2 linked regions of the Callithrix jacchus genome follow. The main gene of each other region encodes a partner of the protein of the gene in region 2 in a complex. Links are inferred from orthologs where the notes say so. Each region holds a gene or a part of one and is shown on either strand. Other genes may lie near its edges.

Region 1 (3,647 bases), on a different chromosome or scaffold from region 2:
TTCCATTGTTGATGTGGAACTGTGATCATCTTTAGAGGGAGAGGCGTTCTGACTTTGAGTATTCTCAGCTTTTTTACGCTGGTTTCTTCCCGTCATTGTAAATTTATCCTCCTGTCTCTTTGAAATTACCAACTTTCAGATTAGGTCTCTTGAGTGGGTGTCCAGGTTGTTAGTTCCCAGGGCCAGAGCAGCGGCGTTAAAACTGATGGTGCTTTTCTGCCCAGGATTCTCTTGTCGGGCTTCCTTCTCGTGTTGGTAGTAGGCGACTCTGCCTTCCTGGGGCTCCAAACCTCGGTCAGAAGGGAAACCGGTCCTGTTCACTCTGCGCCGAGTGCTCTCGCGCCAAGGTGCCGTCACAGCGGCTGCGCCGGACTCTGGTGTCCTGCTGGGGACCAGTGCAGATCCTCCGAACCTGTTTACTTTGCTCCGAGAGCTGCCGCGCCAAGGTGCTGGCGGAACCACTGCACTGGCCACGAGAGTCGCGCTGGCCACCCTTGTGTTTCCTCCACTGGGGGATCTCCTGCTCCGTGAGCGACCAGAATTTGTCTGAAAGCGTGGCGTCCTCTAGTTCTCCGCGCCTTCCCTGAGAGCTGCAATCCCAGGATGTTAGCGATCGGCCATCTTGGATCATCCCTCTTTTTGTTTTTGAGATGGAGTTTCGCTCTTGTTACCCAGGCTGGAGTGCAATGGCGCAATCTCAGCTCACCGCAACCTCCGCTTCCTGGGTTCAGGCAATTCTCCTGCCTCAGCCTCCTGAGTAGCTGGGATTACAGGCATAAGCCACCATGCCCAGCTAATTTTTTTTTTTTTTTTTTTGAGACAGAGTTTCGCTCTTGTTACCCAGGCTGGAGTGCAATGGCGCGATCTCGGCTCACCGCAACCTCAGCCTCCTGAGTAGCTGGGATTATAGGCACGCACCACCATGCCCAGCTAATTTTTTGTATTTTTAGTAGAGACGGGTTTTCACCATGTTGACCAGGATGGTTTCGATCTCTTGACCTCGTGATCCACCTGCCTCGGCCTTCCAAAGTGCTGGGATTACAGGCTTGAGCCACCACGCCTGGCCAGTTCTTTGTTTTTCTTTTGAGATGAAGTCTTACTCTGTCGCCAGACTGGAGTTCAGTGGTACAGTTTCCTCTCACTGCAACCTCCACCTTCTGGTTTCAAGCAATTCTCCGGCCTTAGCCTCCTGAGTAGCTGGGATTACAGGCATGTGCCACCACACCTAGCTAATTTTGTATTTATAGTAGAGATGGGGTTTCTCCATGTTGGTCAGGCTGGTCTTGAACTCCTGACCTCAGGTGATCCACCCGCCTCGGCCTCCCAAAGTGCTGGGATTACAGGTGTGAGCTACAGCACCTGGCCTTTTTTTTTTTTTTTGAGACAGAGTTTCACTCTGTTGCCCAGCCTGAAGTACAGTGGTACCATCTCAGCTCACCGCAACTTTCACTTCCTAGGATTGAGTGATTTTCCTCTCTCAGCCTCCTGAGTACCTGGGATAACAGGTGTGCGCCACCACACCCGGCTAATTTTTATATTTTTAGTAGAGGCAGGGTTTCACCATGTTGGCCAGGCTGGTCTTGAACTCCTGAATTCAGAGTGATCTACCCACCTTGGCTTCCCAAAGTGCTGGATTAAAAGTGTGAGCCACTGTGCCTGGCCTATCAAGAATTTTCTGAACGGGCAATTAACAACTTTTTTCAGGCAACAAATTTGTACTTTAGAGTAGTTGAATATAATTCCTGATGGTTATGTTTAAAGAAAATCATTATTTAGAAATATAAGTCAACATATGTATGGATAAAATGAAAAATAAAACCACATGCCAGGTGACGTGATGAGGGCTGAGCAGGAGTTGAAGTGTCAGCCCTGGCTCCCCTGCTTGCTGTGTCACCATCGTGTCCACACTGCATGCGGTGCGTGCATCTGAGTGTAGCTGTCACTCTTCTTAACATCCTCCCACCAGAGCGACACCACAGGCAAGTTGGGCTTCGAGGAATTCAAGTACTTGTGGAACAACATCAAAAGGTGGCAGGTGTGTAGCAGCCCCTGAAATCCCTGGTACCCAGACCCCCAGCCACGGAGACACCATGCCCCACCATGCTCACTTGGACCCGATCTCTCTGTCCCCACAGGGCATATATAAACAGTTTGACACTGACCGGTCAGGAACCATCTGCAGCAGTGAACTCCCGGGGGCCTTTGAGGCAGCAGGTATGGCCGGCAGGGACGTGGTGGGGCTGGGAGTGGGATGGGTGAGAAAACCTCCACTCAGCTGGTCTGGGCCTGACTTTTGGGCATGGGAGTGGGTTGGGCCATGTGACCCCCACACCTGAAGGATGAAATCCATCTCAGGGTTCCACCTGAACGAGCATCTCTACAACATGATCATCAGACGCTACTCAGATGAAAGTGGGAACATGGATTTTGACAACTTCATCAGCTGCTTGGTCAGGCTGGATGCCATGTTCCGTGAGTGACGTCCCAGCTGTCTTCCTGGGTGGGGATTCCTGTGACTTCTGTGGGCCAACGTCTCCTCTAAACCTGACTGAGGTGGACGATGCTGGAGGCATGGCAGTGACTGAATCAGTCCTAGTTTCTGCCCTCATGGAGCGCACAGTCTAGTGGTGAAGAGAGAAGTCCCCAGACGCTGATAGTTCAGATTGTGATGGCTGGGAGAGGGAAAGCTCAGGGTAGAGTGATGGGTTGTGATGGGGGCAGCACAGGCAGAAGGTCTAGGGCTCTTGTTGGGGAAAGAGTGGGCAGAGCATGCTCAGATTGTGCTTGGGGAAGCCTAGAGGGCAGATGCAACCCAGGAGGCACCTGATGCAGCCCAAGGGGTCAGGGAGGGCTCCTGGAGAGGGAGCATTGAGTACTGAGGGATGAGGAGAGACTTGGTGAGAAGGTAGGGAATGCAGTTGCAGGCTGAGGGAACAGACTGTGCAAAGGCCTAGGAGGGAAAGAAGCTGGGGCTTCTGGGGCTTTTTGTTAGATTTTTTTCTTTTTTCTTTTCTTTTTTTTTGTTTTTTGAGACAGAGTCTCACTCTTGTTGCCCAAGCTGGAGTGCAATGGCACAATCTTGGCTCACTGCAGCCTCCGCCTCCTGGGTGCAAGTGATTCTCCTGCCTCAGCCTCCTGAGTAGCTGGATTACAGGCACCACCGTGCCCATAATTTTTTGTATTTTTAGTAGAGACAGGGGTTTCATCACGTTGGCCAGGCTGGTGTTGAATTCCTGACCTCAGGTGATCCACCTGCCTTGGCCTCCCAAAGTGCTGGGATTGTAGGCATGAGCTGCTGTGCCTGGCCAGGATTTATTTTAAGGAGTGCTTAAGCTGGGGTGCAGTGGGGAAGCAGACAGTTAGGAGGGGCAGTAGGGACTAGATCTTGAGGGCTTTTATGAGTTTTTTTTGTTTGTTTTTAAGAGACAAGGTCTCTGTCTTTGAGGCTGGAGTGCAGTGGCATGATCATGGCTCCCAAAGCCTCGATTTCCTAGGCTCCAGCCTCAGCTTCCCTAATACCTGGGACTACAGGTACACACACCATGCCTGGTTAATTTTTTAAATGTTTTGTGGATATAGGGTCTTGCTATGTTGCCCAGGCTGGTCTTGCACTCCTGGGCTCCAGCAGTCCTTCCACCTCAGCCTCC
Region 2 (3,647 bases):
CTGGATGATCTTGAACAGGTTGGGAGGGGGCTTCTTCAACTCATACCACTCAGCAATGCCTCCAGTGAAGTCTTCAAAGCCCTCAGTGGTGGCACCCCCTGAGAGCGCTTCATAACATCCATTGATCCTACAAGAGGGGTTACATGCTACCATTACCCTTGACACTACTGATGTACATCCCCCACCCCCTAGTATCCCTTAGGTTTGATGCTCCAGGGACCCCCTGCTCACATTCTCCTTGGATTTGTCCCCAGCTTGGGGTGCCCAGGAAGGCAAGATATGGTGTCCGCAGTTAACATTTCCCTGGTATTCTGTGTTTTAAAAAAATCATCAGGCCAGGTGTGGTAGATCACGCCTGTAATCCCAGTATTTCGGGAGGCTGAGGTGGGTGGATCATTTGAAGTCAGGAGTCTGAGACCAGCCTGGCCAACATGGTGAAACCCCGTCTCTACTAAAAATACAAAAAAATTAGCTGGGTGTGGTGGCGCGTGCCTGTAGTCCCAGCTGCTCGGGAGGCTGAGGCAGGAGAATTGCTGAAACTCCAGAGGCGGAGCCTGCAGTGAGCCAAGATCATACCACTGCGCTCCAGCCTGGGCAACAGAGCGAAACTCTGTATCAAAAAAAAAAGTTCTCAGAGAACCTTAGAGTTGGAAGGACCTTAGTAATTTTCTGGATGAAACTCCTGTATTGATTCTTTCTACATCCTGACAAGAAAGGGGAGGACTAATGGGTCGTTTGGCATTGATAGCTTAAAAAAGGACACCAATTCAATAATGGAAGCGGTTTCCCTGAGAAACAGGCAGTGCGTTGGCAAGGGCTTAGTGCTCCTGACTCCTGATGCTGTAGCCCGGTGACCTCCCTGACTCGAGTATTGAGCAGTGGGACTCAGAAGCAGCCCTCAGCCCCCAGGTTCTCACAGCTGACCCCTCCTTCTTGGATTGAGACTGTAAGACACAGAAATCCACTTGCTGCCTTAGAGTGGGGTCACTTTAATGGAAGGAGTCGGGCAGCACAGCCAACATGGGGCCATTCTGGAGAGGGGCTGCTGTGGGGCTTCCTACTGAGAATGGGCAGCCCTGGGCACTGGACGAACTCCACTGTGGGCAGCTGGGGTGGGAAGCAGCTGCTAATCAGTCACATCTATTCTGGGCAAGTTTCCTACCTCTGCAATGAATGTTTTGCCCATTGGCAAAAACTTTTTTTTTTGTGTTGATACGAATGTGTCCTGCCAAGGAAGTGAGCCCCTTCTCAAGGCCAGCACAACCAGTACCATTAGTTGTTCCTGTGCATTTGGCTAAAGATGGTGACAGCTGTCATCTATTGGCGTACAGTGTGGCCAGGCACGGCAGGACTATCCCCTCGCATTTAGAGCCGAATTTTGGCCGAAGGAGTCCTTCCATAGAAAAGGACTTCCACTCAAAGTAGTCTTTTTGGAATCCAGGACAGTGGGGGCAGGCCATGGGGCCAGGGGAGGCATGGCAACTTACTTGGCGTAGGCCTTCTCCAGCAGGGCGCTCCAAAACTCGTTCCCCTCGGCTGAATGCACGAAGAGCAGCTCCCCATCCTTGGTGGGCAGCCTGTCATCCACCACCACCTCCACCCACTCGCCATATTGCCAAAACTGCAGGACAAGAGGAGAGGTGGGCTGGAGGAGGAGCTGGTGGCAGCGCTGGGACTCTGAGCCTCAGCTGCCTCTGGCTCCCCTCGCCCTGATCCCCTGGAATAGCTTCCCTGAGCCCGTCCTGGGACGCCTATGCAGGCCAAGTCTTCACTGAAAAAGCAAATACAGAGGCACCCGTCCATCCCTCCAAATCTACGCCCGCCTCTTTAGCATTCTGCCCTGCACCTTAGGCTTTCTTTTTTTTTTTTGAGACCATGTCTTGCTCTGTTGCCCAAGCTGGAGTGCAGTGGTGTGATCTCAGCTCACTGCAATCTCCACCTCCCGGATTCAAGTGATTCTCTTGCCTCAGCCTCCTGAGTAGCTGGGATTAAAGACTCGTGCCACCACACTCAGCTAATTTTTTTTTTTTTAAGTAGAGACAGGTTTTCCCCATATTGCCCAGGCTTGTCTCGAATTCCTGGGCTCAAGCAATCCATATGCCTCGGCCTCCCAAAGTGCTGACATTACAAGGATGAGCCACAGCAACTTGACTGGCTTTTCTTTTTCTTTTCTCTTCTTTTTTTTTTTTGAGATGGAGTCTCGCTCTGTTGCCCAGGCTGGAGTGCAGTGGCACTGTCTTGGCTCACTATAACCTCTACCTCTTTGGTTAAAGCGATTCTCCTGCCTCAGCCTCCCAAGTAGCTGAGACTATAGGTGTGCACCACTATGCCCAGCTAATTTTTGTATTTTTAGTTGAGATGGGGTTTCATTATGTTGGCCAGGCTGGTCTCGAACTCCTGACCTCAAATGATCCACGCATGTAGCCTCCCAAAGTGCTGAGATTACAGGCATGAGCCACCACACCCGGCCAGCTTTTTCAATTATTCCTCATTTACCAGCATAAAAGGATGAGAACTTCAATGTTTTGTTTCAAACTTCAAATAATACAGTTTTTTTTTTTAACTTGGGAATTATTTCCTGAATACTTTGCTCTACCTCCCCTTTTCCATGTCCCAAGAAGCCCCCCAGGGCCATCCTGGCAGGGTCCCACATTGGGTAAGCCAGAAAGCTTCCTGCTCTCACCCAGCGTCCTTTGTAGAACAGCGTGGGTCTTGGGAGTCTGCGAACACCAGGAACTGACGAACCCAGACAAGCCAGGAGACTTCCTAGCCCCCTGGACCCGATGAGGAACCACCTGAGTCAACCATTAAGTTACCTGGAAGTGGAAGATGCCTGCATAGTTCTCCTGGAAGCTCTGGTTTAGGGGGACGACTCGAGCCAGGATCTCTTCATTCAAAGTGAGGGAGGCAATGGCGGCCAGCAGCCAGCAGTCACCTGTGAACACAGCACAAGGAGCTGTTATCAGAGGGTCTCAGAACCAGGAGCATGTTAAAAATCTTGTCTCCATCTCTGGGGGCTTGAAGTCTAAGACAACCTGTGAATAGACAGAGTGAAGTTTCAGGCAGTCCTCCATCTGCGGGTCGGGTCAGGGGGGTTGGGTGCTATTAGGTTGGTGCGAAAGTAATTGCGAGTTTTGCACCAACCTAGTGTTTTGAGGGAAATGCAAAGGGAGAAATGTTTTTGCGTTTGTGGTTGGGCAGAGATGGGAAATTCCATTCCCTCAAAGACCCAGAACTCTGGGGGCTGAACTGTGTCCTCAGAGCCCAGCCCTGCCTGATTAGCTGCAGACGCTCCACAGTGAGCATCTGTGGAGGGAAGGAAACCAGCGCAGTTGCAGAGGCTTCTGAGCACACAGGCTTTGAATAGGAGTTTGAGCTGGGTGTGCTGGTGTGCGCCTGGAGTCCCAGCTATAATATTAATACTTGGGCGGCTGGGGTGGGAGTATCCCCCGAGCCCAGGATTTCAAGGCTGCAGTGAGCCATGATCGCACCATTTGCACTCTATGCTGGGCAACTGAGGGAGACCCTCATCTCTAAATAAACACACACATTTATAAAGGGGAGTTGAGTGAGAGAAAGGAAACGTAGTGTGAGACAGGAAGGGGACAAACGTTGCACGCCTCCTAGGAGGAGGGTCCAAGACAGGA

What was found. Proteins that work in one complex are often made in the same cells at the same time.
Region 1: the proteins of CAPN2 (region 2) and CAPNS1 are in contact, whole or in part, in a crystal structure (PDB 1KFU), measured with the Homo sapiens proteins. The link is inferred for Callithrix jacchus from reciprocal best matches to the Homo sapiens genes CAPN2 and CAPNS1. Residues at the interface, in NP_001739.3 of Homo sapiens: Ala2, Gly3, Ile4, Ala5, Lys7, Leu8, Ala9, Arg12, Glu13, Glu16, Phe60, Arg366, Arg416, Arg417, Arg418, Arg420, Asp494, Ile516, Phe551, Glu575, Lys578, Val581, Asp582, Asp585, Gly588, Ser589, Gly590, Gln641, Leu642, Gln644; in NP_001003962.1 of Homo sapiens: Thr85, His86, Ser88, Asp111, Asp112, Met113, Glu114, Ser116, Thr118, Asp142, Arg145, Ser146, Ala149, Val150, Met151, Asp152, Ser153, Asp154, Thr155, Thr156, Gly157, Gly160, Phe161, Glu163, Asn206, His208, Leu209, Met212, Ile213, Arg215.

The regions. Positions count from the first base shown.
Region 1 is NC_133523.1:32,299,005-32,302,651, forward strand, and holds part of CAPNS1 (calpain small subunit 1), read left to right. Parts: intron 1-1,966; coding exon 1,967-2,035; intron 2,036-2,135; coding exon 2,136-2,214; intron 2,215-2,355; coding exon 2,356-2,472; intron 2,473-3,647. UniProt on the Homo sapiens protein: Regulatory subunit of the calcium-regulated non-lysosomal thiol-protease which catalyzes limited proteolysis of substrates involved in cytoskeletal remodeling and signal transduction. Essential for embryonic development.
Region 2 is NC_133520.1:5,054,676-5,058,322, forward strand, and holds part of CAPN2 (calpain-2 catalytic subunit), read right to left. Parts: intron 2,936-3,647; coding exon 2,817-2,935; intron 1,622-2,816; coding exon 1,488-1,621; intron 128-1,487; coding exon 1-127. UniProt on the Homo sapiens protein: Calcium-regulated non-lysosomal thiol-protease which catalyzes limited proteolysis of substrates involved in cytoskeletal remodeling and signal transduction. Proteolytically cleaves MYOC at 'Arg-226'.